Linked DNA regions of Schizosaccharomyces pombe. Changing the gene in region 1 together with any one later gene gives a genetic interaction. Each region holds a gene or a part of one and is shown in the gene's direction. Other genes may lie near its edges. The genes, in order: klp3, gdt1, amo1 and btb1.

Region 1 (8,421 bases):
GTATCAAATTTATGAAAGCTTTTTTCAATAATATTCATCGTTCCGCTAGGTACACTAATTGAAACTTTTTCTCATTTCTTTTACGTTTATTTCAGTCTTTTTATTTCTGCCCATTTCTTATTTTTTGGCTTTTCACTTCAATTTAATTTGATAATGCCTTCGAAAGCGCCAAGGAAGTCACTTTCTGTTTCTTTTGTTTGGACTTTCAGCATTTTAGCAGTTTTGCGTCTTACTTCTGCTTCATTTCGAGTAATCGATGATTGTGACGAGGTATATAACTATTGGGAGCCGTTGCATTATTTATTATACGGTTACGGCTTGCAAACATGGGAGTATTCTCCCGAATATGCCATCCGTAGTTGGTTTTACATAGCTTTGCATGCTGTTCCTGGGTTTCTTGCTCGTGGATTAGGTTTAAGCCGCCTACATGTATTTTATTTTATTCGTGGCGTGTTGGCTTGCTTTTCTGCTTTTTGTGAGACAAATCTCATTTTAGCTGTTGCTAGAAATTTCAATCGTGCAGTGGCCCTACATCTTACTTCTGTTTTGTTTGTCAATTCTGGAATGTGGTCAGCTAGTACGAGCTTTCTACCATCTTCATTCGCAATGAACATGGTAACATTGGCTCTTTCTGCCCAACTTAGTCCTCCTTCAACTAAGCGGACTGTAAAAGTCGTATCGTTCATCACAATAGGTGCTGTCATTGGCTGGCCTTTTTCAGCGGCTTTGTCTATCCCATTTATTCTTCTCGAGCTCGTAGATTTGAAAGGAAGGTTTCGACATTTATTTTGCAGATGGTTTAAGGCTATTTTTGTTGCTCTCCTTATAACCGGTATATGCATTACAGTTGATTCTTTGTTTTATCACCGTATTCAATTTGTAGCTTGGAATATTGTTAAATACAACGTCCTCGCCAAAGATGGTCGAGGCCCTGATATATATGGTACCGAACCTTGGTGGTATTACTTTGCAAACCTTTCATTGCAGCACAATATAGTGCTATGGTTTGCCATGGCTTGCGGACCATTGGTTCTTTTAGCTGCCTTTACCAACTGGATCAACCTTGATTCGTTTTTGGACCTTTCTTCCGTAATTTCTCCTTTTTACATTTGGTTATTTATTTTCATTATACAGCCTCATAAAGAAGAACGTTTCATGTATCCGATTTATCCGGTGCTCTGTTTGGCAGCAGCTATAGGTTTGGATATGTCATTAAAGTTAATGATTCAAATTTTATCTAGTATAAATGAAACTGTGAGATCAAAGTTTCCGGTCCGGTTTGTCGTTCTTTGTGTTTATGCAATAATTGGATGTTTGAGCATTGCTCGTATATTGGCTATTCAAAATTATAATGCCCCTATGATAATTTATCCAGCCATAAGCTTTTTGGAAACAGATAACAACGTGACTACTAATGTTTGTGTTGGTAAAGAATGGTATAGGTACCCTTCTACTTTCTTTTTACCAGATAATTCACGCCTAAAATTTGTAAAGAGTGAGTTTGACGGTATTTTACCCGGTGAATTCGTTGAATCTAATTCAACATGGTGGAACCGTGAAGGCTACTATCAGATCCCTGAACACATGAATGAATTCAATAATGAAGAGCCAACTCGTTATACTTCTCTTGAGTCTTGCGATTTTTTAATAGATTTAGAGTTTGATCATTCGAAGGCCACAGTCAACGAACCGATATATTCAAAGTCTGACGGTTGGATTCCAGTCATGGTGTACCCTTTCATTGACACGAAACAAACTCCTTTTATGGGCAGAGCTTTTGCTGTCCCCTTTATTGAGCCTAAATGGGGCCGATATGAGATATTGGTGAAAAAGCCGGTCAAGATTGATTTTTCAAATTTGCGTCGTGCCTCTAAACAACAAGCTTAAAATTTTTAAGAGAGTGTATGTAAGCCTTTCTTAGGTTGTTATTACTAAAAATTGTAAAAGTCTTTGCAAGCATATGTCCAAAGCTTTAAATTCTCTAAGAAGAAAGAAAAGGCTGTGGAAACTCAATTACATAGAAAAAATGCGAAGTTATTTTACATTTGATTTTCCAATTTGTCAGATATTTAATTAATAATTAGTGTCAAATAATCTATCTAAACGGTTGACTTGGCGATGTCAGACAATCTTAGGAAGTCTTAGTACATGAAATAATAAAGTTCTTTTATTCATGGAATCGGTTAGCAATTAACCTAATGCTAATATCTAAAGCATCCGTATCTCATGCATCAAATATTTCAACTCGCATATATCATTTAATAAATCTAATCTACAATTTTTTTTCCTTTGTAAATATAGGATGGACAACAGCATGATTTTGAAAGACATGAGCACATTGGTGAGTAACAAGAGTCATAAGCGTTCAATCTGTTTTATTACAAATGCGCGTTCATCATTAAACTGCTCATCATTTTTCCGGTCAGTATGAAAAGCTGACAAGTAAGAAATCAACTTTGATTTGTTCCTCCTTAATATTTCGATTACTTCTTCCGACTTTTCAGGATTAGCAACAAACAATTTAAAAACATGAAAAGCTTCAAATTGAATGTTTTTACTCTTATCTCTCAGCAGAATCATCATTAGTTTCAGATTCTCAGCAGAACTAATATAGCGTGTCATGACTGAACGGTTAGCACGATTAAGAAGAATTTCCCCTAAAAGCTTTAAAGATTGACGTTTGGTAACATAATTTTCAGATTTCAAAAGGACAGTGTATTGCTTAAAAAACTCGTCAAAATGGTATGAAATAAACTCAGCAACTTGGGATTTATGATTAAGAAGAATAGACTGATTAAAGTTAGTAAATGCAAAACTAGCGGGAGTATATAAAAACATTGCAACGACAGAAGTTTTATTTGGGGATAATACGTACCTTAAAAGTCGAAAACGCATCACTCGCCATATCAAAACTAGAGGCTTGTATCAAACTAAAAAATGTCCAAAAATCTCGTGAGTTTAAAAGTACCTCATTAAGGGCTTCATGACGGGAACACTCACGAAGGATAGAACCAGCAGTAAAAGCTACTTCCTGGTATCGATAGTATGAGACCAATACTGGAAAGATTTGCGGGTGCGCAAGCATGTAGTCAACAGTGGGATATCTCGATGCTACATGCCTCCTAAGTAAAGCGCTAAATATTAGTCCTGTATCCTTTTTAGACTCAAACTCCAATTTCGGTAAATATCGAACGAGTAAAAAAGGTAAATTCGACTGGTAAATTTGAAAAGATAAGTCTGATACGAGATCAGCATCAGGCTCTACTTCAGCTGTCCCACACAATGAAACCCGTAAATTCTGTAAACATTTGGAAACTTCCTCAAAGGACTGTTTACGTTAGTCATCTAAACGAACAAAAACAACAATTACTAATAATTAATACCTTCTTTTTATCATTGTTTATTTCCAACTTTGGGAGATTATCACATAAGCAGCGAACAACATCTTGGGTTGATTTTGGTCGTTTATTGAACAGAAACGACATGCGGAATTATGGAATTCGGTTTCTCTAAAAACTTATGGCATATGACAGGGTAAGTAAAGTGGGTGCCAGGCGATGGTCCACAGTGGGGGTCTATTTTCATATTCAGTTGAATACTATTAAGGTACACTTCTTGAGTATTCAAATTACCTTTACTTATACCTGAAGTGATACCAATGTGGGGGTTGTTACATCTCGATTATACATAAGTAATCAAGTATTGAAACGCAGGTGCATTTAGATGATAGCAAGTGTACTAAGTAGATCTATTTATGAATTATGCATTTTCCATACCTTTTTCTCTTCGGTAAATGAATTGGTAGGTTGGTATAGCTAGTAGAAATACAAAGTAGTAAAACAAACGTTTTTTAATGCTAATGTTTGAAATAGTATCTGGGATAAACTTGTAAATTGCAAATACATCCAAATCTCCATATAAACTTCACAATTTAAAAAAATTATTTAATTTAAAAAAAAAAATAAATAAATACCTGCGAGGTTTCTCGTTCTTACCATTTAATCAAATTTTCATAAATAAATATGTGAGAAATTGCAATCCAATTTTCGTCACAGATATTAATCAGACGAAGGGTAAAATACTCTGCTTAAAATATGAATCAAGATTGAACAATCTTAAGAATTTTATACATGTGTAAATCTTCAAATAATATCAGGAAAAAAAGAATATGTAGAAGGAAGTAAACAATTTTAGCCTGTTGATTTGTAAATTTATTTTTTTTAATTCACACTTCGAGCTTTAACATTAAACAATTATGTAGTTAATTACATGATATTATTCTGTTTTTGATACGTTGCCTTAAACAACAATTATTGTAGAGGCACCATGTTAGGTTAACCTCGTCTTTCCCTGTATATGAAATTAGCCCGCTCACATATTGTCTTTAATGATTTTTTTGGATGTATGGATCTAATTTATATACTGCGTTTTAATCATACATTATTTGATTTTTTATCTTTTTATAAAGCAGTTTTACTCAATGACTTCAATTAAAGTAGTGTGCCGAATTCGGCCCACGAACCAGTTGGAACAAGACCTTGGAGGAAATAATGTGATATACCCATTAAACGATTCTACTGTTCATATCGAGGTAGGTTTCAACAATTGATCTTTACTTTAGAATTCGGCTGACATGATTAAAAGACTAGTGATTACTCAGGAAACTTTGTATTCGATCGTGTTTTTCATCCTTCTAGCACTCAGAATGATATATTTTCGTATTCAATTGAATCGACAGTCGATGGTATGTGAATGATAGTAAAACTTTACACGGCGTTGAACGGATTAATTTCATCGTTGTCAGCAACAGCTTGTATGAAATTATAGCATAGCCTTTTTTTATATGCGCTCGTTTTGACGCTTCATTTGAAACGAATTGCCATTTTAATACATTGTTCGAATCACATTCAAGTTGTTCTGAATTTCATTAAATATGTACTAATATATTATAGACTTATTCTTGGGTTATAACGGAACAGTACTAGCCTATGGACAGACAGGATCCGGCAAAACATACACCATGATGGTATATTCACAATTTCACCTGGCACACTTTTCTAACAATCTTTAGGGTATTGAAAATAATTTCGAAAAAGAAGGAATGACTCCAAGAATGCTCAGGCGTATTTTTGACAAAATCCGCGATTCACCATCTACTACTGAATACGAAGTGAAGGTATCATACATGGAAATCTACATGGAAAAAATTCATGATCTACTTTCCGGTAAGCCTTCAAATGCCGTAGAAATTTTGCGACGTTCGTATTTAATTTCAGCAAAATTAACCATGATTTACAGAAAAAAATGACAGACTGACGGTTCATGAAGATAAACTTCAGGGAGTTTATGTTCAAGGTTTAAAAACGATTTACGTATCAAGTGAAACGGAGGCATTGGATATTTTAAATAAAGGTATGGGGTCACGTGCCGTTGCAAGTACGTCGATGAATGCGCAAAGTTCACGGTCTCATTCTATTTTTGTACTCGAAGTTGTCCAAACGGACACTGAGTCCGGCGAAACTCGACGAGGCCGGTTGTTTTTAGTTGACTTGGCAGGTTCCGAAAGCGTAGGAAAAAGTGGAGCAGTCGGGCAAACCTTAGAAGAAGCAAAGAAAATAAACCGTTCTCTTTCAACTCTTGGAATGGTTATTAATTCTCTCACAGACAGCAAATTATCACATGTTCCTTATAGAGATTCCAAGTTAACGCGTATTTTAAAAGAGTCTCTTGGTGGAAATTCTCGGACCACTCTAATTATTAACTGTTCACCAGATTCATACAATGCAACAGAGACCTTATCTACTCTTAGGTTTGGACATCGTGCAAAGAGCATCAAAAACAAAGCGGTAGTAAACTCAGAACTTTCTGTTGATGAAATGAAAAGACAGCTGTATATTTATAAAGATGCTTTGTCTCGTTGCGTTTGTGGAGCCAGAATTAACAATAACTTAGACTATAATAATTGTCATTCTAACGTATGGTCAGGCGAGCATTCCCTCACACTGTCAAATCTCGCCGAAAAATCCAACTTAAAGGAAGCAGAAATCATTCAAGGAAATAGAACAATTCAGGAAAGTAATAATGACAGAGACGAAAGCACAGTTGCTTCGATACACAGACATAACTTTGATTCTGATTCTATCAATCGTTTGTATGCTGAAGCACAACTTGAACTTAAACAACGAGATGGTGTTTTATCATCCACTAAACAGCAATTGTCAGACCTTATGACTGCATTGGGCGATGCTCAGGAGCGGTATGTTGAGCTTGTTAAAAACCACAGAGTAAATTCAAATCTTACTGCAAACAACTCATTAAATGACAAACCGGGTTTTACAATAGAACAGAAAGATAAAAATTTTTCGATAAATAACGAGAGAAACAATTTTTTACAAAAACTGAGTACTTTGGATTCCTCACTGGCTGCTCTAGTAAATGTTCAACGAAAATTGATTAAAGCTTTAATTTCCAAAGAGCGACCTCAAAATGGAACAGTAATTAAGAAAATTCAAGGGGGCACTTAAAAGCTACACTTTTTTACTCTGCTTTGCGAAGGATTATATATGTTTAATTAATTTCTTTAGAGTTGTTGAGCTCACATTTAATCATGAAATATTGCATCTCGTCTAGCTGCTTTCTGAATAAACTAATTTTCTGACTAATTATTTATGCAGCTTCTTTTATATTGCTGCAGCATTATAATATAAAAGAAAACAGCTACGCAGCAATGCATTGTTTATATGCTTATTCAGCAAATGTGTAACATCTCAAATGATGATGTAATAACAATTCAATAAAAATTTACCGTTATAATATAATCAGCGAATTTAGTAATCTGAGACTACTATTCTTTAGCAAGGATTGACTATTGGCTAAGCAATCATTACCTTTTTTAAGCTACAACGAACTGTAGTTTAAGTGTTACTTGCGATGTATATAATCTTATGTAGGATGTTTATCGTAGATGGTAAAATGTTGTATCAATATAATTATGATATTGAATACACTAACATAACCACACATATATGGCTTATAACTGAAGTCAGGAAAGAAGGTTTGAATGTATCAACATAATGCATTGTTATAAAACTACTAGTATAGAAGATTTACACTAAGGATGGAAATACGGAGAATCATGAATATTATGAAAAGTTGAACTAACGCAGCACAGTATAGTGTAGTGACTTGTTTCTAACAGAACGATCATATTTACTAGCCACCAATCTTCGCTAAACAACATTTACGCGATCTTCAATATCCATTTACATTTTGCTAACACAACTTGTTGAGTTGTTTCATTTCCCTATTTCGAACACTTTTTACCAATCTTCAGTGCTGTAAAGTCGCTAGGAAAAAAGCGTTTTAAATGGTACGCTTATAATTTCCATTGCTGGTTGCCGTGGTCAAATAACTCAAATACATCAGTTTTTTATTTGAAACGATCTTTATAAGATAGCACTTTCTTTTTGGTAATTACAGTTGGAAACTTTGTTTTATTTAGTATCTATACTGGCCTGTAAATTTAGTCTAAAAAAATGAGGCCACCTGACGATCAAATCAACAATAACGTTGGTTCTAATTCTCACTTGGAAAAGTTGAAAGAGGTAAGTGATTTCAATACTTGGATTCTCCTTTTTTAAATATGAAATAAAATGTGATATCTCTTGTTACTTAATTAATTTAAATTACTAACGTTTGAATAAGGCCATGGACCACCAGCTGCAAAAATCATCAAAAATTGTAGGATCGTTTACTAATTCTCAAAACTCTTCTGTTGGCTCTGTTCATTCTCCGATACTTGAATCTCCCACCAGTTTAAATAGGCAGCATCGAAATTCATTTTCTTTCAATAATGTATCTTCTCCTTCACTAGAGGATGAGCGACTTATTAATTTTCCCCGAGTAAATCCAAATCGATTGATGACATCCAAACGTCCCAATGAGTTATTTAAAACCTCCTCAATGAGTTCAGATTGCTATTCTCCTCAAAAATCTAGGGAATCACTAAATTCATTATGCCATTCACCTGCTCCATCCGTTTCTTCTTGTGGAAATGCTTTGAACAACGATAATACTTCTGCTTCGCACTCACTAACTGATGAGCAACCATTTGAAACAGATTCATCCGCTAACTTATTTAAGCAGTTACAGGAGAAGCGTAACCGTACCATTGGAAATGTGTATGAAATGGCTTGCTTATTGGTCTTTAAAACCGGTTTGATGAATTTCTGGAAAAACATTATTGACTTTTTCGCTCAGCAGTTTTTTTCCACTCAAATATCTGTTGTAGAACCGCGTGACCTTTCTGACATATACAATACTCCTTGGCAACTCAGATGTTATTACGATGGCGGTTCCCATTATGATCCGTATAGTAACCCTATAAGTGTTAATGACAACCTTGCTAGCAGTTCTTATGTT
Region 2 (7,458 bases), 830 kb from region 1:
ACTAAGATTTTTTAATTCATATCTTTCGAATGTGTGATATGAATTGAATTTAGAATATTTAATGGATTGATCGAACTTTATTTTATAAGACTTGTTAACTTGTTTATACTTTATATTCATCACGTTAGTTTATTAGAAAAAAGTCTTTGATAAGTGAACATACAGGAATCTTAAGGAAGACAAATTAAAATTCAAATGATACTTCTTTCATATCATCCCAATTCTACGACACATTAATGGCAGAATAAATTTGCGGATCTGTATTTGACTAATGCCGCTTTATTCTGGATAAAAATGCACTTTGTAGCCTGGTTCAACGATTGTGTTTTACATTCCATATAAGCCGTATTAATTTGGCCTAAGTTACTACTGTCACAGTTTTCATTTTCATTAAACCATTAGATCAACATTCCTCTTTAAAATAATTCAGACTCTACCTCAATCAGTGATGGTTCAAATTATTTACAGTTACCGAACTCTGGTAGGGCGAGCGGACCTACTGATGAATTAGTATGTTTTCGCTAAGTATTATCGTACATCTGGCTCACTATTAACCTATAGTTGAGTAAATAGTACAAGTTTAAAATTCAATAGCTATCATAAATGTTATTATCCCAAAAATTCCAAATGTAGTGTATAATTAACGGGTTTGGTCACTATATAACATTGTGTAGTAATAGTGGAACTAATTTTACAGCAACTTCATCTATACAATCAATATAATCACGTTTAACATGCCAAATATGTCATATCGTATAATATGTTAAATGGAAGAATGAAGGTTATAAAAAATGAAAGTTTTAGCGATTTAAGAGTTATATGTATTGCTTATTTGATACAAAGATTAAGTTTAACATTTTATTTGTATTTATTTTTTACCTAAAAAAGGTTAGAAAAAAGGTCGCATACGCTGCTGAATGGAGAAATTCAGAATATGTCACATTATCTTGCCCAACAACTCTAATGCATATGCGGGTTTATTTAATTATATAAAATAATCCAAAAAACTTATAGCGCTTAAAGGGTTCAACAAATATAGTGTAATACACTCCTGAATAAATTTCTACATCTAAGTTTTGGTTCAGTTCGTTCATAACAATTTACATTAACAATACACACAACCGAAAAATTGTATTTAGTCAAAGAAACAAAATTTAATTATTATGACTTTATTCGAATGATAAGCAACAATATAACTTTTCACGCTATTATTATTATGGAATATACAAAGTCCCGATACCCGAACACTAAAACATCTAATAAAGAGCCATTAATCGTATAACCCAACACTTATTTTGTATTAAAAAAAGGGAAAAGGTATGAATAAGGTAAATACAATAAATTTTCAATGGTTGAGTAGTTTAATGATGGCAAGGGTATTTCTGTTGATATGTTGTTTATTTGACTTTGCAGATTATATAAGTTTCTTAGATAATTGACAGAACCTAGAAATTTTAGGTATTCTTTACAATTCTTAGGTTGTTTCCATTGTAGGACTTTGTCTATATTTTCTTGACAAAATGTAAATTCCTTTTCATAAATATGATACCCTACAAATTCATTTGTTAGTTTGTAAAATTTTGCGCTTTTGCTTGGTTGATAATCAAATGTGCATTTTTCAGTCTCTGTAAAACATCTTTAACATGCTCTACATGTGGTATGTTATATGGGCGATGTTCTAATTCATTAAAAATCAGAACCGATTTTGGTTAAGAAATCACTTTTTTTATCGAAAGAAAAGAAATGAAAAAATAATGAATAATAAATTCAAAATCCGTTGATCAATACATATTGAATATCACTATTTTTAATTGCTATTTTAGGATACCGATATAAAACAAACCCTATTCATTTTTTTAATATTTTCAATATTTATCAGTAACTTAACGAGTGAATATTTTATCAGTCCTTTTGTTAAATAAAAATCAGATTTCTGCAGTTCCAGAAATGCAGATTTTGGATCCGCCACCAACATGAATATCGTATAATCCGTTTGCAGACAACTTGATAGCTACTCGAATTAAAGCATTTCTGCCTAATATCTTTCCTTGATTAAATAATAAATGAGCGAAATCGGAAGAGATTATTGATGGATTATTGAGGGCGAAAAATACACCAACTGATCCAGCTCCACTCCCATTAGCAGGATCTTCATTTACCCCATGAACAGGACAAAAACTTCTAAGTTCGTATGTCCCGTCGTTATACATTCCAAAAATTTGGACGCCAGTCAACGAATTTTTTGAACAGCACTCAAAAATAGCTTGAAAATTAGGATTCAAGTTCAAAACATCAGCACCGTTAGGTAGTTGAATTATAGCATTCCTTGGACCAACATCTACACAAAAAGGAGTATTGCATTGTGAACATGAACCTTCACATAAATTCAAAAATTTTTCCAAATCTACTATTACTTCTGGTGAGATACTTGAAGTCTTATAACTCGGTAATTTGAAAAGATATCCAAGTTTGATTGACATCTTCGTTATGTAACGTCAATTCAACAAGGCCGGAATTACATTGCTGCACTACTTTATTTTTCTTGGCACTACAAGACTTATTGTCCAACAAAACAAAGCATGATCCGATAGTAGGATGACCAGCAAATGGAAGCTCACAACCCGGTGTGAATATACGAATTCTGTAATCTGTTCCTGGGATGGTAGGCTTCTGTATGAATGTTGTTTCGGATAGATTGGTCCACTTAGCGATTTGTTACATTTGCGTGCTGTTTAAACCGTCAGCGTCCAAAAAAACTGCCAGAGGATTACCAGCGTATCCTTTAGTAGAAAACACATCGACTTGCCTGAATGGATATAATGCCATTCGTGCAGATAAAGCTATGTTAAGTAAAGCTAAATAATTTTGTCAACAGCTTAACTGAGAAGGGTTTATATATTAAAAAAATTTGATTAGCAAGATACAATCTGAAACTCTTATCTAGCTATGTCTACTGATGTATAAAGATAAACTGGAAATAGTGAAACCTAATGTTCGACGTGCTACGATTATCACTATTTGGTTTCCTGTAAAATTTTTAATACAGTCACTACGTTGCGTATCATTATACGTCACATGTTCATAATGTTCTATTTGCTCTATCAACTTCACATAATAAGTTATTAATACGGTTGTAATATCATTTATGATAAAGTAACTAACTATCAGTTAAAATTGTTGCTATTTTAAATGTTATAAGCAATATCAGTTATTGGTAACATTATAACCTAGATAATACAATGCCTATACTCATCTGCTACTTCTACTACCTGTGTATCGCAATATAATAGATCACAAGGAAAACTTGCCGCATTTCTACGTATCCTTAAATCAGATACCAAACTGCCTAGCTGACAAAATAAAAATGGTCGGTAATTTTCCCATGCTTATATATTACTTTTTTTCCGGTGAAAAGCTAAGTTTTCCCACATCCGTGTTGGTAGAATCTAACGATTTTGTTTCTTTAAGCTTCGGATTGGATCATCCGTGACTCAACTTCTTCTATACATAAAGTGTGCGTTGTAATTTTCGATAATGTTTTAAACATCGAAATTTTTTGTTTGTATTTTAGAAGGCCTTAAGTTTGAGACATCATTATATTCGTTATCAGCATTGGCCATCAATTACCAACTTTCGTTGTGCCTAACCACCTGAATTGCAAATTTTAGATTTTTATTGAGTGAAGCTTCAAATAACTGTCGATTAGAGTTATTGCTTATTCATTGTTTTATCTTCCTTTACCCTCTAACGTAAATGAATCATGATTAATGTTGAAAGTCCCTTAAATTTGGAAACTACTTTAGGCAGTTTGCAGTTTAGTCATGGTTCCGTTCAAAACATTGGAATGTCAATATCAATGATCATAGGCTGTGAGCTTGGAGATAAATCTTTCATCGTTACTGCTCTGTTGGCATACCAATATGGACGGGCATCCGTTTTTTTTGGTTCATATTTGGCTCTTTTTTTTATGACTTCGTTTGCTGTGTTAGTTGGGCGTGCTGCCCCTTTTCTGTTCCCTAAATCGATAACACATATTCTTGGTGGAACACTATTCTTGATATTTGGGGTAAAAATGCTGAAAGAGAGTAAAGAGGTCAGAGAAAGTCAACAGTCTCTTGAAAATGAATTTGACAAAGTCGAAAAAATTATTGTAAACGAAGAAGATATGAAAAAAACATTAGAATTGGGATTACCAGCCAGCAATAGAAGCAGCTCTACGCTTAAAGACAAATTTTTCAAAGTCTTTAGTATGAGCTGTTTTAAAAATCTGTTTTCGAAAAAATTTTCCCGGGCTTTCATAAAAGCTTTCGCACTAATTTTTGTTAGTGAGTTGGGGGATCGTTCTCAAATTGCTACCATTGTTATGTCGGCAAAGGAGAAGGTGCTTGATGTTTTCATTGGGGTGAATATTGGTCATATGCTGTGTACAATGGTAGCGGTGATTGTCGGAAGATACATATCAAATAAAATCGAAATGTATAAGGTACTGTTCTTTGGAGGGATTGTATTCATGATTTTTGGGATACTGTACATTTTTCAAGGCTTTTGATGATGATGGTTACAATTTTTATTACTTTGATATTTTATAGCTAAGTGAAGAAATAATTTTCAACGGTTGCTACGTTTTATACCTTCCGATAATGCTTTCAGCGTTAACATACGACTCTTTAAAGTCCTTATTTAGATTTTCCAAAGGATTTAAATTCTTAAAAAAGCAATGCCATTTACTCGTTGTGAGAAAATTATTTTGATCGGAAATGACTTATTTTGCTAATTTATCTGTCAGTTGGCACCAAATTCTCTGTATTTTGATACTATTTTTTAATAACTTCAATGCAATAGTTTCGTACAATTAACTGTATACTGGTTACTTCAAGTACTATACTATATATGGAATTAGTAATTTAATAGCTACTTTTGTACAAATGTATATTTTAGAAATTATTTATACTATTATTTGCATTTTTGACATATTCTGTTTTTGATAAAACTTGTTTATATCAATATTCAATACTTATTTACAATTTTCTCATTAATTGTATTTTTCTCTTTATTTATTTATTTATTTTTTTGTCACTATACAATTACTCTAAAGACCATACTAACTCCATTGCAACGTTTTTCATAGATCGCTTCTTTAAAAATAATGAGAGCTACAAATTAGAAAAGTTGGTTGACAGTACTTACTTACTCTTTACTAAAAGGAAACTCTTGAGATGAGAGATAGACTCTAATGGAGTCCGAATGAACCTGACCCCACTTAAAACTCCATTAGGAGTCGACTAGTAGTACTTCGAAGCCCACTAAGCGAACTTCGGATGAAGTACAGCTACTCCTCTTTATAATGACATAATGACATAAAGGTCAATAAAAAATGGCGAACCGACTACACGATCCAAAAGGACTACCACCTATGGTTTCAATGATTATATTAGCCTATCCACGGCCCATTCAGATTCTGTGAAATACCGAGTACAAAGAGGTTGTGCTGTAAATTATATAACCAAGGTGATCGGTTACATTGTCCACATTAATACTTGAGACCGATAGGCACATATGCGAATGCGTATACTAAAGGATTATCTGTTGTGGAAGCAATCATAAAGAAAACTTCATACGTTTCAATAGTTTTTCCTTACTAAAGCGCAAGCATTTTGTTAAAAAATCGAAAAGAAAAAGTTGTAAGAAAATTTCCCCACCTTCTTCATAAATCAATTAAACTTCGTCCGGGTGTATCCAAATACGTATCGTGAAATTTCCATATAAGTTGAGGTCATTCCTCTTCATTCTATATTATATGAACACTTCTTCACGAATTCAATTGCCATCATCGAACGATGCGCACGTTTATGATGGCCGATCCAATGAACCAAAAGCTTCAAAAAGATCCTATGTTAATCTTACACGACAAATGAGACCTAAAGATGCCTTGAAAATGAATATCTCTTCTCCAAACCTTAAGGACCTAAGCAAATTTGCAGACCCAGATGCTCAACAATGGCTTGAAGGGTATTTGGCTGGAAAACTTGAGGATAATTCTAAAACTCCTCGTTCAAATTTTGTCGATCCTCTTTACGAAGAATTAAATGCGCGAAGAAAACCCAACAAGCCGGTGTGGAGTTTGAGTGGCCCTTTGCCGCATGTTCTTGGTAATTCTGTGGTTGAGAAACTAGAGGCTCGTTCTAGAGCTTCATCAGTATCAAATTCTAGACTAAACTCCAGAACTAACTCTTCAGTTTCTCTGAAAGGTATGGATGGATCATCCAGTTGGAAAAATAAAATAAAAAACGCAGTTTCTAATGTCACGGATCAGAGTAAACGATGAAAAACTAGCCAATGAAAATCATTCAGTCTTTATGGTAGAGCAAGTAGGCTTTAGTTCAAAGCAATTCTTATTTCTACAAATCATCAATCGCCCATAGTAAGGTGTAAGGTTATACTCAATTGAATTTACTCTTATGAAATTACAACGTAGATCGTTTTACGAATGTGGTTCCGTGATTCAAAAACAGCAGTCAGTTTTACATAGCAGTAGAAGAAGTTAAGACTGCCAGCTGATTATAAATAAAGAAGTTAATGAAGTCACTTTTAATTCGTGTAGCAAAAACAAATTTTTATTCCTTAACTACTGGTGCAAATTAGGCATTTGCTTCTTAAGGTTCTGCTGAGTTTTCGGGAACTCAAGTTTGGATGTCTTTGCTGTAGGGAAGTAAAAGCTACTTCTATGAAAGAAAATGTTGGAAGTTTTCAATCTCTTTCTTTTCCTTGGGGCTTTTGTTTGATGGTTAGCGTGCATAAATCTGGTAGCGATGTTAATCCAGCTACGACTATCTCATTAGCCATAATTCGCAAATTTCTTCGCGAATAGTGTCTATCTTGTCTACTTATAAATCTAGGGTGCATTCCAAAAAATGTACTCGCTTATGGTTACCACCAGAGTTTGATTACTGAATTTGGGGGATATTAGGATATCAGAGCACGGCTACAAGTAGTTGTTTGTAGTTCAATGGAAAACATTACGACTTAAGGAAACGCATTTTTTGTAAGTTTTTTGGAACAGCTGTTTTGGTATGATACCATTCACCAGTACCCTGAGGCATGTTTGTATTTTATTAATTTACTTTTTGCGACTGCTAATATGACTCTTCGATACCTGCCAACTTAAATCTAAATTAGCATGAGGTGTAGAATGTCGTATGTCTGTATGGTGGAAGTAGGGTGTTCGGGAATATCATAGGGGTTGATATTGCCGGAGTAATTGTTCTGATTTAGTAATATACTGGCCCAGTGTTTGCAATCAATTATCTGAGACAAGAAAAAAAAAACACTATTCAAATTGACAAGACTAATTAGGTGATGTTTTGGAACGAAATTTTACTTTGAAGTTAAGAAGTTGATCCTATAATTTATATAAGAAAATATTACACCCGAATAATCATTTTTTGACCTTTTTATTAT
Region 3 (7,092 bases), on another chromosome or scaffold:
AAAGATTAGACTAATAAGTCTACCGATTTTAGGATTTGACAACTTAATATTTCTTAATGACGCTATATGAAATTCGTTAATTCAGCAATAGTAAATCAATGGATAGGATGAAGAACAATTTTCGTTTCAATATAAACGACGTTGTTAAACATTATTATTAGTACAGCCTGATTATTGTTATGTAGTCAATTTTAATTACATTATAAATTTGTAAGTGATTTCCTCTTACCTCATATTTCATTAGCGATCAGTGAATTTTGTTTGAGCCGCAGAACAACTTTCCGTAAATAAATTACTTTGAATACTTTGCCATAGTAATCTGTTAATTATTATGCGATATCCAAATTTGTTATTCTTGGCCTTACCGATATCTGAGCACTATATCGAGGAATCTTTAAAGTATTTTAAACTAACATCTAATGATCCCATGATATTATCTGGATTTCGTGGCCCTCGTGTCTCACATCTTACTATTGGTATGATCCCGGTTAAAAACGACGAAGACGTTCTCAAGTGCATGGATTTTTTATACAACAAAGAGGATGAAATCCGAAAATCCTATGGCGAGAAAAAGATTACAATCGATTTAAAGGGAACTTCTTTCTTTGGGAAATCTCCTCAGGAAGCCAAGGTGCTGTATGCTACTCCAGTGGACAAGCATAATGGTAATGACTTACAAGCCTTTTGTGGTACGGAGTTTTTATTTTTTTTATTAATAAGCTAATTCATAGAATGGTTAAAAGTTATTTTCACTGAACACAATCTTTTTACTAAAGACGCTAGACCTCTTACTGTACGCATTATGCGATGTTAACCAAATTATAATTTTGCTAACAAAACTAGCTACACTGCACCTTGTTAAATTCCAGGTATATAAAATACCAGGGGCGACGTATCAGGTTTTTTAATTCGGAACCTTTTATGGAAAAATACGGTCAATTTCTTTGGGCTCATAATATTGAACTTGATAAACTAAGTATTATGAAAACAGGCGCTGTTGGAGAACCGGGTAATATGTATTATGAAGAGTTAGCCTCAATTCCTTTACTCGTTAATGATTGATTATAAAGGTAGTAGTTGTTGTTTACAAAAACGCTTTTGGAATCGATTGTTTACCACATGATAGTCACATGTGTAAACAAATATGAAATTGGTCATAGAAGTAATATCGGTGCAATTTATAACTCATTTTGTTTTGACGAAGCACAAATATATAATATAGCTCCTTTTACCATCATTTCTCGAAATTGATTGAAATTTTGGAAACTATTCAAATTATTTTGAGATCCTTTATTATAATTGATTTCACATATACATGCTGATAATTTGACAATGGAAGACAAAATTGAAGGTAATAAACGAACCATTCACATCTTTTAACACATCTCATAGTTTGCTTGCAAAAGGCTATTGCTGTCGACACAATGAGCATTCCGGTAATGCAGTTAAAGCATGAGCGTAAGTAGACTAATTTATGTTAAATTATTAATTATTAGTTGCGCTTAAAGCCCGAGAAGAATACCTCCGAAAAGAACTTCCTTTGAAAGTTCGAGCAAATACTTCTCGCATGAACCCCGGAGCTAAAACTTGGATTCCACAAATTAATCACCGAAAAAGTAGAAATCATTATAATCGTAAAGAAACATGCCAGTTTCCCCCTCTATACAATGTTGAAGCTAAAATAAACCATTCATATTCTGCGTTTTATCGTCCGTTTACCAAACGTGAGAATGGTTTGTGGTATGCGAATCCGTATTATATGCAGCATGGTCCAAACGGAAATTACCATCACGTTTATTATTAGTCATGTTTTCAAAATTTTGTGCCAATTTTTTCAATTTCATTCAAAAACCGCATCTTCATCATTATGGTTATAATCGACGCCGTTAAAAAACCAGGAAAAAGAATTTCATAGTCTTAATTTCTTTATTTTTTTCTTTAATCAGATGTCTACAATAATGATTTTTCCATTAATTATTTTCTTCATCCATTGCTATGGTATACAAGCACTTTAGTGAAAACCGCTGTATTACTTTAAAGTCACTGCTTTGCGTACTTCTCATAAGGAAGCAAATTCAGTTAAAGTGCTTATTGTCATATGCCCCATTGCATTAAATATTTATAATCTGTACAATTCATCAATCCATTGAAGAAGCAAATCTTTGTTGGACGGCTTGTAACAATTCTATTCTTCAGCTTATTGCACTTCAAAATGCTCAGAAAAGCGATCTCTACAGCACGAAACTTTAAATATCCTTTATTTAATTGCGAAAGGAGGTTTTCTTACTTTGATATGTTTCGTAGTAAACGAAAATTTACAAGTGGTATCCTAACGGAGCAACTAGCGTTGAAATTAGATTCTGAACTGGGTTACGTGAAACAGGTTCTTGATGAGACATTACCTAAAAAAGGATACGAAAAGGCTCTTCATTCTTTTATAATCCATGAAGATCCTTCGCTTAACTACATTTCAGCTTTAAAAGAAACGGCAAAGGAAAGGTAAGCTATTTTTCCTCAATTGTTTGTTGAATTCAACGATGTGATTTCATGTCTATGCGTTGGCTAATATACAACGTTTAAGATTATGCTTTCAGCAGAGCCTTTAAATTTCTTTCGATATAATAGTACTAACGTAGCTAGAATACGCGTTACTGTTCCCGTATATAGCTCTCGTAAAAGTTACGTCCAAACAAAGCCGATAACGCATAGTGCTGAAAATGAAAATGGTAACGAAACATCTGATGAACTAGTGTTCTTTCAGCATTCAATTCCTGCTTATGTCCAACTCACTAACGTAAGATCTTAACATGTTATTATAACTTACAATTATAGAACCATGGCACAATTTTGTGTGCTTTAATACTTTGTAAGGGCATGCTTCATTTTGATAGCATTTCTTTTCAATCACCTCAAAACTCTCAAGCGTTCTCATCTGACTTGAGGTTAATTTTACAAAAATCACAGAAGTACACTGGCAGAAAAACAAAGCACGTTCCAGCTTCTATCAAGTCAAGTTTACTTGAATTCTTGGATGAACAAGGAATTACAGTAAAATTCATGAAGGCGCTAATATCTCGCAGTTGGCGAAAAGAAAATGTCTCCTATAAGCATTGGATTCATAATATTATTGGATTTATTTTACCTTCTGAATCATCAACAACTAAAAAATCAGACTCCCAATGATGGTATAATTGTTCTTTGAATTCCTTTACTTTATGATTAATTGGAGCAATAACGCTACACCACACTACGATTCCAAATGGGACGCCCACTCTAAAAATAAGAAAATTTGGAGTATAACATATGATTATGATACATTTTTATACTTATCTTTAGCATATCATTTCAACTATTCAACAACATGGTCGTTTGTAAGTATTTCCTTCAAAATCGGTGCAGGTATGGTACCAATTGTAAAAATCAACATACGGTACCTTCTAATGGACAAAATGCATTTTCTAAGGTTAATGTCTTTCGTCCAGAGAATGGACGACCTCCAATATGGGTACAAAGGCGTTTGAAGAGAAGCGATTTAGATAATTTGCTTCCCAATAGAAGAATGAAGGATATTAACGACGATCTTAAAAACGCAAAACCACAATGGCCTTTTACAGGTTATTCAGTAGTTGAGAATCTACCATCAATTTATGAAGGCGATGTTTCGCCTGAAGAATTGCGGTGGTGGGCATATCAGGCTAAAGCGACAAACAATATGCAAGCATATGAACAACGCCAGAAACAGTTGATGGATGATGTAGAAGCAAAAGCAGCAGCCGTTAAACGGTCGCCTGCTGCTGCTTTCGATGAAATGAGAAATAAACTCGTCGGAAAGACAAATTATAAGTCAATTTTTGATAAGTCTACTAGCAATTCAACGGTTACGTCTAATCAGTTCAACAAGCCAACTCAAAATAGTCCTTTCAATTCTTTTTCAAATAACAATAATTCTTTCAATAACAATCAGCAAGCAAACGATATTTTTGGCGCCCCTACGACTTCTGCATTTACATCGCAATTAAATGCGTCTCCATTTTCTCAAAATACATCCTCAAATTCATTTACGGGAAGTAATCCAGTCCAAAACAACCCATCTTCTTTTGGTTCGTCTAGTTTTGGTTCGGCAACCTCAGGGCCATCAGCATTTGGGGGAATATCTCAGCCAAATTCGTCATTTGTTAATTCCGGACAAGGGATTCCTAACTCATCATTCTCCTCGTTTTCACAAGTTGCTTCTGGGTTTTCACAAAGTCAAAATGTGAATGATCCAAGTTCGATTTTCGGTCCTACTGTTGCCAGCGGTTTTGGAATACAGAATCAGCCTCAGCAATCAGCTTTTCAAAATTTGAATACTCAATTCTCGCTTCCTAATAATTCACAACCAGTTTTTGGTCATACATCTTTAACACAACCAGTGAACCCAAATGGTTTTACTGTTCAGCCCCCTGCTACTTTTATGCAACAACCTCAAGGCCCTTTTGTTCCGCCTAATACTACTTTTGAATCTCCATTTGCCAATGTAACCTCTAAAATATCCGCTTCAGGATTTTCTAACGATAATCCTGCTAACAAAAATATAATCCAAACTCCTATGTTTGGATCTTCTAACACAATTGACGGTAAGTTTTTTTACTTTGTATCCTTGCTAGTATACGAATATGACTAACGATCATCGACAGGTCCGATTAATCCAATAGGTGCTTCTTCTATCCAAACTTTGGATGATCAAGTAGAAATGAGTAATTCCAATCAAAATCTCGCATTTCCCCCAGAAATGATTCAGCAATTTGAAGCTCAAGATTTCATTCCCGGAAAAGTTCCAACAACAGCCCCTCCACCACAATTTTGTTAATTATTTTATTAAAATAGTTATTCAACGTAAGTTTTTTCGGGGATTTTTGATTAGTATTAAACTTTGTTCAAATTTCATATTCGATATTAGGTTGTAAATATATATATATATATATATATGTAATTTCAATTACGAGTATTAGACAAAGTGTGATGCTTTCCTACACGGCTATCTGATAAAGTTGTACCTAACTCGATTTATGTATCATTGTAAAATTCTAGAAAGAAAACAGTACTATTTTTTGTTATTAATTCATGAATCAAACTGATAGCTGATTTGATATAGAGGACAGAACTGTCCTGCACGCCTATTGGGTCTAAAGAGATGGTTGTCCCAATTCCACACACAATTCACTCCAGATTTTTGCAAGAACCCAAAACTTTTGTTTATGGCTATTTATATATAAATCTCAATTTTATTTAATTCTTTAAATGTCTGCAAATATTTCTTACCTAGTCAATCCACCTACAGAGGTCGGTTCATCAATTCCAGCTGATACTGAACATGCCATTTCAGTTACTTTACCTACATGGAAATCCAATGTTGGATATGAAGAGGGAGATCCTAATGTAACTACTAAAATGAAGTCAGGATATCCGAGGTTCTTTATAAGCGCACACGTCAAGGATTGCATTAGCATCATAAAGAAATTTCCAGAGATTGAGATTTTGAAGCTAAAGGACTACGATATGTTTTTGTATCCTTCATTATCCGTTGCTAAGCAAAGTGCAGCTTTTCTTGAAAGTAAAGGACCTATAGACTCTGCGGAAGTCATTATTTATGATGCCACGAAGGGACTGCGAAAACATCTTGATTCAATTGACCGAAATCGCAAATATACTGAAGAAATACACATACCTCAGGTTTATTCTGTATTGTTTCCATCCAAATACTTTGGGATTGCCAAGCAATTCTGGCAACATACGGGGGACGGTATTTCAAGCAGACGCGCAGCTGCTTTTCTGCATTCCTACAAAAAAATTCAGTCTATTTCCGAATTTTTGGTTGCCCAGAGGTCTATTTCTCATCTCAAAAGTAAAAGCAGAAGCCGATATGCTTCCCATCCAGATCTACAGGCTTTGAATACTTGGATGACTAACGAAGGAAACCAAGCTAATGATGAAATGGAAGACGTATCCCTATATTTGGAGGAGAGATATGGGCGTAATTTAGATTTAAGTTTGGCTACAGCAGCTAAACTTGTTCTTCGACGACGTATCGCTGGTACCTTAAAAGATGAAGTTGATTTGCAAAAGGCTTTACCCAAAGAAGGGTCTCAGTATTTACGTGAAGTTAAAGGTTTAAGTCACGACGATGTTTTTTTATTTCCTACTGGCATGAGTGCTATTTACAATACTCATCGCATATTAAGGTTGGTGCTTGATGATAGCCGTAAAAGTGTTTGTTTTGGTTTTTGTTATGTTGATACCTTAAAAATTTTACAGAAATGGGGATCTGGCTGCTACTTTTATGGACTAGGTAATGACGAGCAACTTGATGAGTTTGAGAAACGGTTAGAAAGTGGAGAGAAAGTTATGGCATTGTTTTGTGAGTTTCCATCAAATCCTCTTTTAAACTCTCCCGATTTGGTTCGTATTCGGAAATTAGCAGACAGTTATGATTTTGCTGTCGTGGTTGATGAAACAATTGGAAATTTTGTCAACGTTGAGGTTTTACCATTAGCAGATGTAGTTGTCAGCAGCCTCACAAAGATTTTTAGCGGTGATAGTAATGTAATGGGAGGTAGTATGGTTTTAAATCCGTCAAGTCGTTACTACTCTCGAATAAAAGATGCTATGAAGGCTCTTTATGAAGACTTATTATATGATGAGGATGCTTTGACATTAGAAAGAAATAGCAGAGATTTTGCTGAACGTTCACAAGTGATAAACCATAACGCGGAAACAATTTGTAATTTGCTTTATCAAAACCCTAAAATTAAAACTCTATACTATCCCAAATACAATACATCAAAAGAGCATTTTGAAGCTTGCCGGAGAGAAAATGGAGGTTATGGTGGTCTTTTGTCTGTCGTTTTCCACAATCCTGAAGATGCGCGCCAATTTTACGACAAAATCCAAGTAGCAAAAGGTCCCTCACTTGGTACAAATTTTACGTTGGCTTCTCCCTATGCAATTTTAGCTCACTACCAAGAGTTGGATTGGGCTGGTGAGAATGGCATAGATAGAAACCTTGTTCGTGTCAGCGTTGGAATGGAACCCAGCGAACACCTGAAAAATGTT
Region 4 (9,803 bases), on another chromosome or scaffold:
CAAACCTCACATCAAGGTTTTTGACTTTGCAGAAATGTCTTTGAAGTTTGAAAGACACACAGATGCTGAAAATGTTCAGTTTGAGATTCTATCAGATGACTGGACCAAAAGTGTTCATTTACAAACTGATCGAACGGTCGATTTTCACAGTCAGGGCGGAATTCATTATTCTACTCGAATTCCTAAATATGGAAGAGATTTGAAGTACCACTATCCCAATTGTGATTTATACCTTGCGGCTGCTGGCGATGAAGTTTATCGGTTGAATTTAGAACAGGGTCGATTTTTAAATCCTCTCAAAATTGAAAGCGCCCAAATTGACAGTCCGACTGGTGGTGTTAATGTAATAGATATAAATCCTATGCACCAATTGTTGGCTTTTGGGACAGATGCTGGCAGTGTCGAATTTTGGGATCCTCGTGATCGCTCTAGAGTTGGAATACTTGAAATTCCTAGCACTGTACCTTCTACTCCTTATTCCGACAATTCTCGTTCTGTAACAGCTTTAAAATATAGGAACGATGGACTTAATGTTGCGATTGGCCTTTCAGATGGTGCCACCCTGTTATATGATTTACGTTCTTCAAGTCCTTACATGAGCAAAGACCAGGGTTACAGCATGCCCATTAAATCTCTTCACTGGATGGATAGTGCATTAGATGGAACTGCGAGGGTACTTTCTGCTGACTCTAAAATCATTAAGATTTGGGAAAAGGATACAGGGAAGCCTTTTAGCTCTATTGAACCTACGGTTGAGTTGAACGATGTTTGTCCCATTGAGGGTACTGGTTTAATTCTTACAGCTAATGAAGGTTCTCCTATGCACGCATTCTATATTCCATCGTTAAATCCTGCTCCCCGTTGGTGTTCCTTCCTCGATAATATTACAGAAGAAATGGAAGAAAATCCCGCGCCTACTATTTATGATGATTATAAGTTCGTAACTAAGAAAGAACTCCTTAATCTCGGTTTAGATCATCTTGTTGGAACAGGTGTTATTCGTGCTTACATGCATGGTTTCTTTATTGATAATAATCTGTATGAAAAGGCAAGACTGATTGCTAATCCCTTCTCTTATGAGGAACATCGTCAAAAAATTGTCAAAGAACGTCTGGAGAAGCAACGTGCAAGCAAGATTCGTTCTCAGAATCGTCCAAAAGTCAATGCTGGATTGGCATCTCGATTATCTTATCAAGAGAACAAGTTGCGTAAGAAAACTGGCGTTACGGACGGACCTAGCATCCTTGAAGACGAACGTTTCAAAAATGTATTCACAGATAAAGAATTTGAAGTGGATGAAGATACTTTGGAATATAAGCAATTACATCCTTCTAGGTCTGAAGCAAGGGGCCTTACTGCTGCGGAAGAGTCCGAAGAAGAAAAGGAACATACCAAGGGTATTAAGTTTAGTTCTGATGAGGAGTCACTGTCTGATATGGAGGAAGAAAATGAAACCTTCGATGCACTTGTTGACAGAAGAAAGACGGAGCAGCAGGTCAGCAATGAAAAGACACCTCAAGAAACCATTCGTAGTACTCCCTCTGGTATGGAAATGACATTCAAGGTTGAAAAGAAAAAGAAGTCTAAACCTGTTAATCGAGACGAGGATTCAACGTCTGGCAAAAAGAAACAAGTTACTCAAGGTCGACGTTCAGCTAGCAAAAACGTTTTCCGAAACATGTAACCAAAGCACGGTAGAACTGTCAAATTTGTGTTTACCACTACTTGGCGGATATAGAAACATTTGCAGGCGTGCATACATTATCTGTCACTTTTCATAAAAAATTTCTGTGTTGTATACATCTTCATTTAGCTTTATTTTTGGTTTAGCAAGTTGGTATTTGGGTTTCGCATACGATGGATTCGTGTGCTCAAAAAATTAATTTCGGTTTTTAATAGGTAAGCAATAAGCAATTTAATGAAATATCTACTTTATGTATCTATCATTGTTTTATGATTACTTCTTGTTGCAATCTGGCAGTAGTAGATTAGTCGCCCAAAATTTCAAGTTTTGTTTATTTATTTATTTAGAAGCAGGTTCGTTTTTTATATGTAAACTAAATTTGGCTGAATTGAAAACATTGTCAACAAATTATATATATCTTAGCTGTGGTAATGTAAAGAATCTGGTAATCCACTTCGTATTGCAACATCTACTTTTCTCGCCAGTATACCAACCACACTGCAACCTCATGCTATTGAATATAGTCTAATTTCTCTAAGACAGTAAAGCAAGTTTTAAAAGTCATATGTTTTTGATCTTTTTTAAAGAAGTTTCTGTTTTTTGAATTATTTTGAAGAAAATTATTTGTATGTAAGTTTGTGATCGATGGATAGTCATCATATGATGGAAAGATCGTTAACCTTTGAAAGAAACTATTCTCATTTATTTATAATAATATTTATAATAAGAGATATGAGCAGCTCGAACTCCCGAGTGCATGAGGAACAGCCTCCAACAGAAAATCGCAGATATGCGAGACCTACTGCACAAATGAATCGAGTAATTGAACAACAACCAAGGCGTCGCGATTACTTCCAAAACAATGACAACTCTGGTCGCAGAGGTTATAATAGGCATGAAAACAATGGTAATGCGCAGGATGTGGTACGTTCACACTATAACGCGCGTCCTGATTTGGGTTATAAAAAACGACAATTTTCTCCTATTATTCAACTAAAGAGGTTTAACAACTGGATCAAATCTGTTCTCATACAAAAATTCGCACCCCATGCTTCTGATTATCCTATTTTGGTACTAGACATGGGATGTGGAAAAGGTGGTGATTTAATTAAATGGGACAAAGCTGGCATTGATGGATATATTGGGATTGACATAGCTGAAGTTTCCGTAAATCAGGCCAAGAAGAGATACCGTGAAATGCATGCTTCTTTTGATGCACTATTCTACGCTGGCGACTGTTTTTCTAGCTCAATTAACGAATTACTTCCCCCAGACCAAAGAAAATTTGACGTTGTTTCTCTACAGTTTTGCATGCATTATGCATTTGAAAGCGAAGAAAAGGTTAGGGTCTTGTTGGGGAACGTTTCTAAATGCCTTCCTCGTGGTGGAGTAATGATAGGAACGATTCCCAATTCCGATGTAATTGTCAAACATATTAAAATGCTTAAACCAGGAGAAAAAGAATGGGGAAATGACATATACAAAGTCAGATTTCCTGAATCACCTCCACGCTCTTTTCGACCTCCGTATGGAATTCAATATTATTTTTATTTAGAGGATGCTGTTACCGATGTTCCTGAATATGTAGTTCCTTTTGAAGCCTTTCGTGCTGTTGCCGAAGGATACAATCTTGAATTAATATGGGTAAAACCTTTTTTGGACATCTTAAATGAAGAGAAAAACTCTGAAACGTATGGACCCCTAATGGATCGAATGAAAGTCGTTGATAATGAAGGACACCGTGGAATTGGTGGACAGGAAAAAGAAGCAGCAGGATTTTATTTAGCATTTGCCTTTGAGAAGAGGGGAATTTAGTCTTTTCTTTCCTTATCCCACTGATTCACTGTGCAGACCGCATTGTAGAAAGATCTTTCACGCTCGAAAGATCAGTACAGTGGTAGAAAAAAAGATGACTTTAAAAGATGTAGATTAATTTTTGATGGCAATGACTTTTATTTATTTATTCATTTTTATGCCTTTATTCTTTCTTTTTCTGTTTTCATATATTTTATACATAAGTAACATGCTCTCTTTCATTCCAGCTTAAGCGAATAAATAAAGTATGCTCCCAGGCATATTTCATCAAATCAGATTGCCCCAAAAATTGCCTCAAATATTAAGCGATAGCTTAAATCAATGCACCTGTCGGTATTCAACTACCAGCATCCACTGCTACTCTTCTTCCATTTTTTCTTCAGCAACAGTCAAGTTAAAAAACTGGAACGTTTTAATTGATTTGAGAGAAAATTTCTTATGGAGTAATCGATTGATTAAATGATAAATTCACATTGCGCCCTTTTTTAGTCTCGATTGATTAAATGAGTCATCTGCTTTTCGCGTATTACCTTTGCAACGACATTCGCTCATTCCAAAATCTACTGAAGCAAGATGATTCAAAGGTGAAAGAGCCTAGAAAGGGTTTTTCGGAAAAGAGCGGACAAAAACTCCGTATCAACCAAAAAGATCGATACGGACGCACCGTGCTGCACATCGCCGTTTCTGAGAATAAAAATTCCTTTGTTAGATCTCTTTTGCAGCATAAAGGCATTGATGTTTTTGTGCAAGATGAAGAATCTGGATATACGGCGTTGCATCGGGCAATCTACGTTGGCAACTTGGAAGCAGCGTCTTTGCTTTTATCAAAAGATCCCTCCTTCAGATCATTGCGTATTAAAGACAAAGAAGGTCTTTCTCCATTTCAATTTTTATCACGAGTCCTTTCAAGCACTATTCATCCGGTTCTTGACTTACCGATAATAGGAAATGAACTTTATGGCTTTGGTACTAACGTAAACAATACGCTCGGAATAGCAAATGGGAAAGAACCTTCATCGCCAGAAAGAGTGTTTTTACTGAAAAACCAAACAGAGTCTCCCACATCAGGTCAACTCTTTTCCCGAGACAAAATCCTTGATGTGCAGGCTTCCAAATTTCACAGCGTCGTACTAACGGATGAGCCGTCGCAAAATGTTTACGTATGTGGTATTGGTGCTGGAGGGAGAATAGGTTTTAACACGGACGTTCAATATAACTTTATTCCTATTCCTGGTATCATTCATAAAGTTATCCAGATTTCTGTTAGTCATACCCATTCACTTGCTCTTACAAAGTTCGGAAGTATTTATTCGTGGGGAAAGAATGGTTCTGGTGAACTGGGACTTTCTAATGACGAACTGAAAAAGGATGATCCAATTCAAATTACCCCTAGGCGTATCTCTGCATTCAAGGATTATCAGATAATTGGAATGGCGGCTGGAAAAAGTTATAGCGTTGCTTGGACTGACACTGATATTTACAGCTGGGGGTTAAATAATGGCCAATTAGGTATATCTGATCATATTTCAGTTGTTTCTACTCCAAGGAGAGTTGCTGGCTTATTATCGCCTGTCATACATGCCGTTTGTACTACTCGTGCTACGATATGCCTTTTACAAAACAACAGTATAATTGCCTTTTGCAATTATAATCAAGTGAAATTGCCATTCAACGTTGACTTTGGTAGTTCGTTAAAGGTAACTAAGCATCCTCTTTCCCTCACCAGATTTAACGTTAGAAAATTATTAGCTTCAGAAAACAAACTAGCCGTGCTTACAGAACTAGGCGAAGTCTATGAATTTGATATGAAGCTTTTACTTGATCGTGATTCTACCTCTTCCAAGAATTCCACACGAACTTCATTCAAATTTACTCCATTATGGATTTTTGAATCTTCAGACCTTGCAGCTTTAGATATTGCGTGGACCGCTGATAATTCTTTAATACTATGTACTAGAAATGGCACTTGTTGGAAACGGGAGTTAAGGTCAAAAAAGCGAGAAAAGTCATCTAGTAGCCCGTATTCTAGAGGACCATACAAATATAATAGAATTGAAAATTTACAAATGGTTGTTGGAGTCCGTGCGAGCGCTTCTGGATCATTTTTTGCAATTCGAAATGATTATCTTCCACCGCCAATCTACAAGCCTTCGAATATGTTAATTGATCTTTTGCGCTCACTACTTCCCTATGACCACCTTTTACATGTAAGACAACCACGTTTGATTCCTCCCGAAGATGAAGACGGAGTCCCTATTTTTGACGAAGACCGCGCTGCATCCAGCAATGAGATGCAGCTACTTTTTGAAGGATCTATACCGATTCTTACTAGTTATGAAAATTATAAGCAATCATTTTCTGATGTTACTATTTATTGTGGTACTTCTATGTTCCACTCACATAAGTTCATATTGTGTGCTCGATCTTCATTTTTGAGAAAATTATTGCTACAAAAAAAGAAATCGAGTGTCTCCAACATCATTTACATTGAAGAAATCACTCAATCTCATTCAACAATTAGAGTTGAAGATATTCCTCCTTTAGCGGTTGCTATTCTTTTGCATTATTTGTACACGGATACATTGCTTTCTCCATGGCATCTTGATTCACGCTTTTCACCTTTAAAAGAAAACCTTTCAAAACTTGCAAACTTACTGGAGTTACCTCATTTAGCGGAGGTTTTACCGTTTAGTGTTTCCCGCCAACCTTTGCTTTCTTTAACGAATGACATTCTGCAACTATATAATAATTTTTATGTCTTATGCGAAGAAACAATGGATACAGTAATAAAGCTTAAAGATGGAGAGCTCAAGGCACATGGTCTTTTTTTAAGTCTCCGCAGTGAATACTTTAGTTCTTATTTCCAATTTGTTTCTATGGAAAGCAATAGTTTTGACATCCCAATAACCGTCAATTTGTCTCATTTGACTGTTGAGCATATGTCAATTGTTCTTCGTCATGTATACAGTGACTTAAAAGTTGAGCTTTTTGACGATTTGAAAGAATCCGATTTTCATAATTGGTTGGAAACTATGTTCGAAATTTTGTCTATTGCAGACGAGCTTCTTTTTCTTGAACTAAAAAGCATAGCCCAGCAATCCTTACTTCGCTTTTTAAATTTGAAAACTCTACCTACTCTAATGGATCTTTCACTTAGTTATCACGCTGAGGAGCTTTATTCACGATGTATTGATTATGCTTGTCACAATATTGAATTCTTTTTGGAAGCAAATCGTATAAGTGAATGGGATGGTTTCCATTTAAAAAAAGTCGCTCAACGTTTAACTGAATTGCTTTCTGATCAACGAGTACATCTTCCTTCTAGCAAGATTGCTAATAGATTATTGATAAGAGATCCAGTGTTGATGGAAAAAAGAAATTATGAGCTTAAAGTTCTCAGAGAATACTTGTTTTCCCAGGAAAGTTCTCAATTATGGGACGATTCCCCTTATCGGTCTATTTTTGAAGATCGTCGATGCAGCACTTCAGCAGTAATTTTAGAATCTGGAATTGTTCCTTCAAGTAATCAAAGTGATTCATTAAATAAGGAAGATGCTGAGGAGAAGTCTCCTAAACCAAATGTTGTTAACGTTACGAGCATTACAAAGACAGCAGGAGCTTCTGTTGAAATTCAAAACAATATAGAGTCTGCTTCGTCAGGAGGGGATAAAACACAATTAAATGGTCCTGGGGCTGATCAACCTGTTACTGCAACAATTACTTTTGACAAAACGAGTCCATGGAGGAATAGGGAAAATCTTTCTCATAATAACAACACTACTAGAGCTAGTCTTAGAGAATTGCTGGAGCAAGAGAAAGCTGATGCTTCAACTACTACGGTTTTGTCTGATTCTAGATTTATGAAAGCTCCAACTAAAAAATCCCAACGTGAGAAAAAAAAGGAGCTTTCAAAGCAAGTGCCTATTTCCAAAACAAATGTTGGCCACATCGATATCGAGTTGGGTAAATCGAATCACTCAAACCCTTGGTCTGTAGCAACACATCAGAGGGGCAGTTTTTCGTCATCAACTGGAGTGAAAAAGTCATTTAATGGTATTCTTAGAGAGGCAGCTCGAGAGGAAGGTTCATCTCAAGTAATTTATCAAGAATCGAAGAAGCGCATTTCCAATGGTTCTCCAACTAGTTGGAACCTACTTACTAAACCATCTCCCCGATCTGCTTCTTTACCAAAAAATAGCCAACCTTTATCGATTTCGGAGATTATGACTGAGCAGAAAGAAGAAATTGAGAGTCAAAAGAGGAGATCATCTTTTAGAAAAACAATTGAGGAGATACAACAGGAAGAGGAGTTTCAAAAGTGGTGGGAGGAGGAGAGTTTGAGAGTACAGAAAGAACTTGGAATCCTTAAAACTGAAAGAGATACCTCTACGAATAGAAAACAGGGACAAGCTTCTAAACAACCTCAACGAAGGCACAGAAAGGAAAAAGATTCCAAAGTGTCAGAGTCCACTGCGGAGTTTAAATCTCTTCCTATTGATATACCAAGGACTACTCACAAGAAAGGAAAAGCACGTGCAGTCAAATGACCATAACAACGACTATATACAAAAAATTCAGGACATTAATTTATTCAACTTATGAAGAGATACTTTAATAGATATGTATAAGAAAAAATATTTGCTACATGGTGAATTATTTATTAAGCTTTTGTTTCACGATACCAATCACACATTTTACATACGCTAAAAATTCAATATTTGAAAATAATAAAATTGAATAGGAAACTTTGGTCATAAAGAAATTCAAAGCACGTACGGAATGAATACAAGAATTCGATATACACGGTAATTTATAGTGTATCAAGGACAGATCCAATTGTAGTGGAAAAATTATAGGAGAAATGATGCTGCTTCGTAAATTCACTAGAGAAACCGTGACAAGCAATTACAAAACGAGCAAAGATAAGGTTTGTTTCCATTCACCTAAATCATCGCAAAATAGCCAGAGGTCAAAACGGAAAGGGCAAGAACAGCATAACCGGTACGATAGACACCCTTTAGACTTAACTCCTTGGTGGTATCCCAGATCAAGTGACGAATACCGTTAAAAATGTGGAAAGTCAAAGGATAAGAAATAACAAACTTAGCAGGAACTTTGATCCAGGTGGGAACTTGCTGAATAAGACCAGAAATGGTAGCTGTATCCAAAGAGTATCCAGCGAGAGGAGCCACCAAGTAGCCCATAGCGAAAGCATAAAGAGTACCGGCGACAACACAACCAGTGATACGATGTAAACTGGATAGATACCAAGTCAATTGAGGTTCATAGATAGTCAAATGAGGAGAATTTGGACGGTGAACACGCTGGGAAGCAAGACGAGAATTAGCCTCCGTCTGGGTCAAATGTTCGGTTGCAATAGAGCGTCTCCAAACATTTCGTAAAGTAGAGCGGCCAGCAGGGCGCAACAGTTGAGCAGCCGGACGGAATAAAGAAGAGCTTAGGCAGAATGAGCGAGTTGCGAACATGGTCAAATTGGGTCGCAAAAAAAAAGGGGGATAATTCAAATTTTTAAAAGAATACTTATTCAATAGTTGTACAGTGTAAAAAATGGATGCAGACACAAGTTTTCAACTGATTAATTATATGTGTACTGCAACAAATGGTATTGGTAGCTAGAGGAATTGCGCAGTATGTTATTGGAAGATATTTTCCGCTTAGCAATTCGCTCGCTGTAGGCAATAATGTTAAAAGGCCGGAGTTCGAATTATAGAAACCGACCAATTTTATATTTTGATAAAAACCATTTTCTTTTAATAATTTGGAAATTTTGTCGAGAGGCATTCACAATAAAGATTTTCTGCATTTTTTGAAGACAGCTATTGTATTAAAAAACTGATTGGAAAGTGGAAAAGGTATATTAATATTTTGGCAAAGGATTTCATTTACTAGGTAAAAATTTGTCGCCTCAATTTAACAGTACTTTTTGCAGGGAAAAAGGGTATAAAGATAATTTACGGAAAAGTTAATAGATAAAAAGACTTAAAGAATGTCCTTTTCAGAAGATCAAGCAATGGAAGAAGCCAAACTGAGAAATGATGAAACTGAAGAGCAGGATCCAGTGGTGCGGACATATCCGGTATTTTTCTCACCCGGACTTAGAAATAATCTTTTACTAAATCAATTTCCCCTTCGTCCTAAAAACCGCACATACAGTGATGCAAATGGTGAAGCACCAATCGATGTTCGAGTGAAACCGAAGACTGGCTGGATGGAGGTCGATGTACCCATTCCTACAACAAAATACTATAATGAGGATAAGGCAATGAAATATGGTAACGGCAAA

Evidence for each region.
Region 2: mutations in klp3 (region 1) and gdt1 together harm fitness less than expected from each alone (positive genetic interaction), as found in Schizosaccharomyces pombe (one large-scale study listed by BioGRID).
Region 3: mutations in klp3 (region 1) and amo1 together harm fitness less than expected from each alone (positive genetic interaction), as found in Schizosaccharomyces pombe (one large-scale study listed by BioGRID).
Region 4: mutations in klp3 (region 1) and btb1 together harm fitness more than expected from each alone (negative genetic interaction), as found in Schizosaccharomyces pombe (one large-scale study listed by BioGRID).

What each region holds. Positions count from the first base shown.
Region 1 is NC_003424.3:4,702,435-4,710,855, forward strand, and holds klp3 (kinesin-like protein Klp3), read left to right. Parts: upstream 1-4,343; 5' UTR 4,344-4,480; coding exon 4,481-4,591; exon of another isoform or gene 4,592-4,644; coding exon 4,645-4,744; exon of another isoform or gene 4,745-4,952; coding exon 4,953-5,026; exon of another isoform or gene 5,027-5,071; coding exon 5,072-5,225; exon of another isoform or gene 5,226-5,298; coding exon 5,299-6,524; 3' UTR 6,525-6,818; downstream 6,819-8,421. Other genes in the region: mannosyltransferase complex subunit Alg9, read left to right, coding at 154-1,887; mo25 family protein Pmo25, read right to left, coding at 2,356-2,790, 2,876-3,328, 3,384-3,485; phosphorelay sensor kinase Mak1, read left to right, coding at 7,536-7,604, 7,705-8,421. UniProt on the Schizosaccharomyces pombe protein: Cytoplasmic motor that could play a role in Golgi membrane recycling.
Region 2 is NC_003424.3:5,537,441-5,544,898, reverse strand, and holds gdt1 (GDT1-like protein), read left to right. Parts: upstream 1-3,417; 5' UTR 3,418-3,760; coding exon 3,761-4,549; 3' UTR 4,550-4,867; downstream 4,868-7,458. Other genes in the region: SPOM_SPAC186.06 (isomerase), read right to left, coding at 1,926-2,480; SPOM_SPAC186.04C (uncharacterized protein), read left to right, coding at 5,798-6,325.
Region 3 is NC_003423.3:3,026,462-3,033,553, reverse strand, and holds amo1 (nuclear rim protein Amo1), read left to right. Parts: upstream 1-3,328; 5' UTR 3,329-3,361; coding exon 3,362-4,616; exon of another isoform or gene 4,617-4,676; coding exon 4,677-4,849; 3' UTR 4,850-4,869; downstream 4,870-7,092. Other genes in the region: SPOM_SPBC15D4.13C (ASCC1 family protein), read left to right, coding at 332-665, 732-793, 844-1,062; protein mug98, read left to right, coding at 1,425-1,458, 1,497-1,804; SPOM_SPBC15D4.11C (Mam33 family protein), read left to right, coding at 2,213-2,499, 2,641-2,794, 2,833-3,183; met3 (cystathionine gamma-synthase), read left to right, coding at 5,281-7,092. UniProt on the Schizosaccharomyces pombe protein: Involved in the cell polarity process where it is required for the correct termination of microtubule growth at the cell ends during interphase.
Region 4 is NC_003421.2:127,515-137,317, forward strand, and holds btb1 (BTB/POZ family ubiquitin-type ligase substrate adaptor Btb1), read left to right. Parts: upstream 1-3,880; 5' UTR 3,881-4,002; coding exon 4,003-8,046; downstream 8,047-9,803. Other genes in the region: rRNA processing protein Enp2, read left to right, coding at 1-1,684; mRNA 5'-cap (guanine-N7-)-methyltransferase Pcm1, read left to right, coding at 2,417-3,499; sdh3 (succinate dehydrogenase cytochrome B subunit), read right to left, coding at 8,443-8,985; DNA-directed RNA polymerase III complex subunit Rpc37, read left to right, coding at 9,507-9,803. UniProt on the Schizosaccharomyces pombe protein: Probable substrate-specific adapter of an E3 ubiquitin-protein ligase complex which mediates the ubiquitination and subsequent proteasomal degradation of target proteins.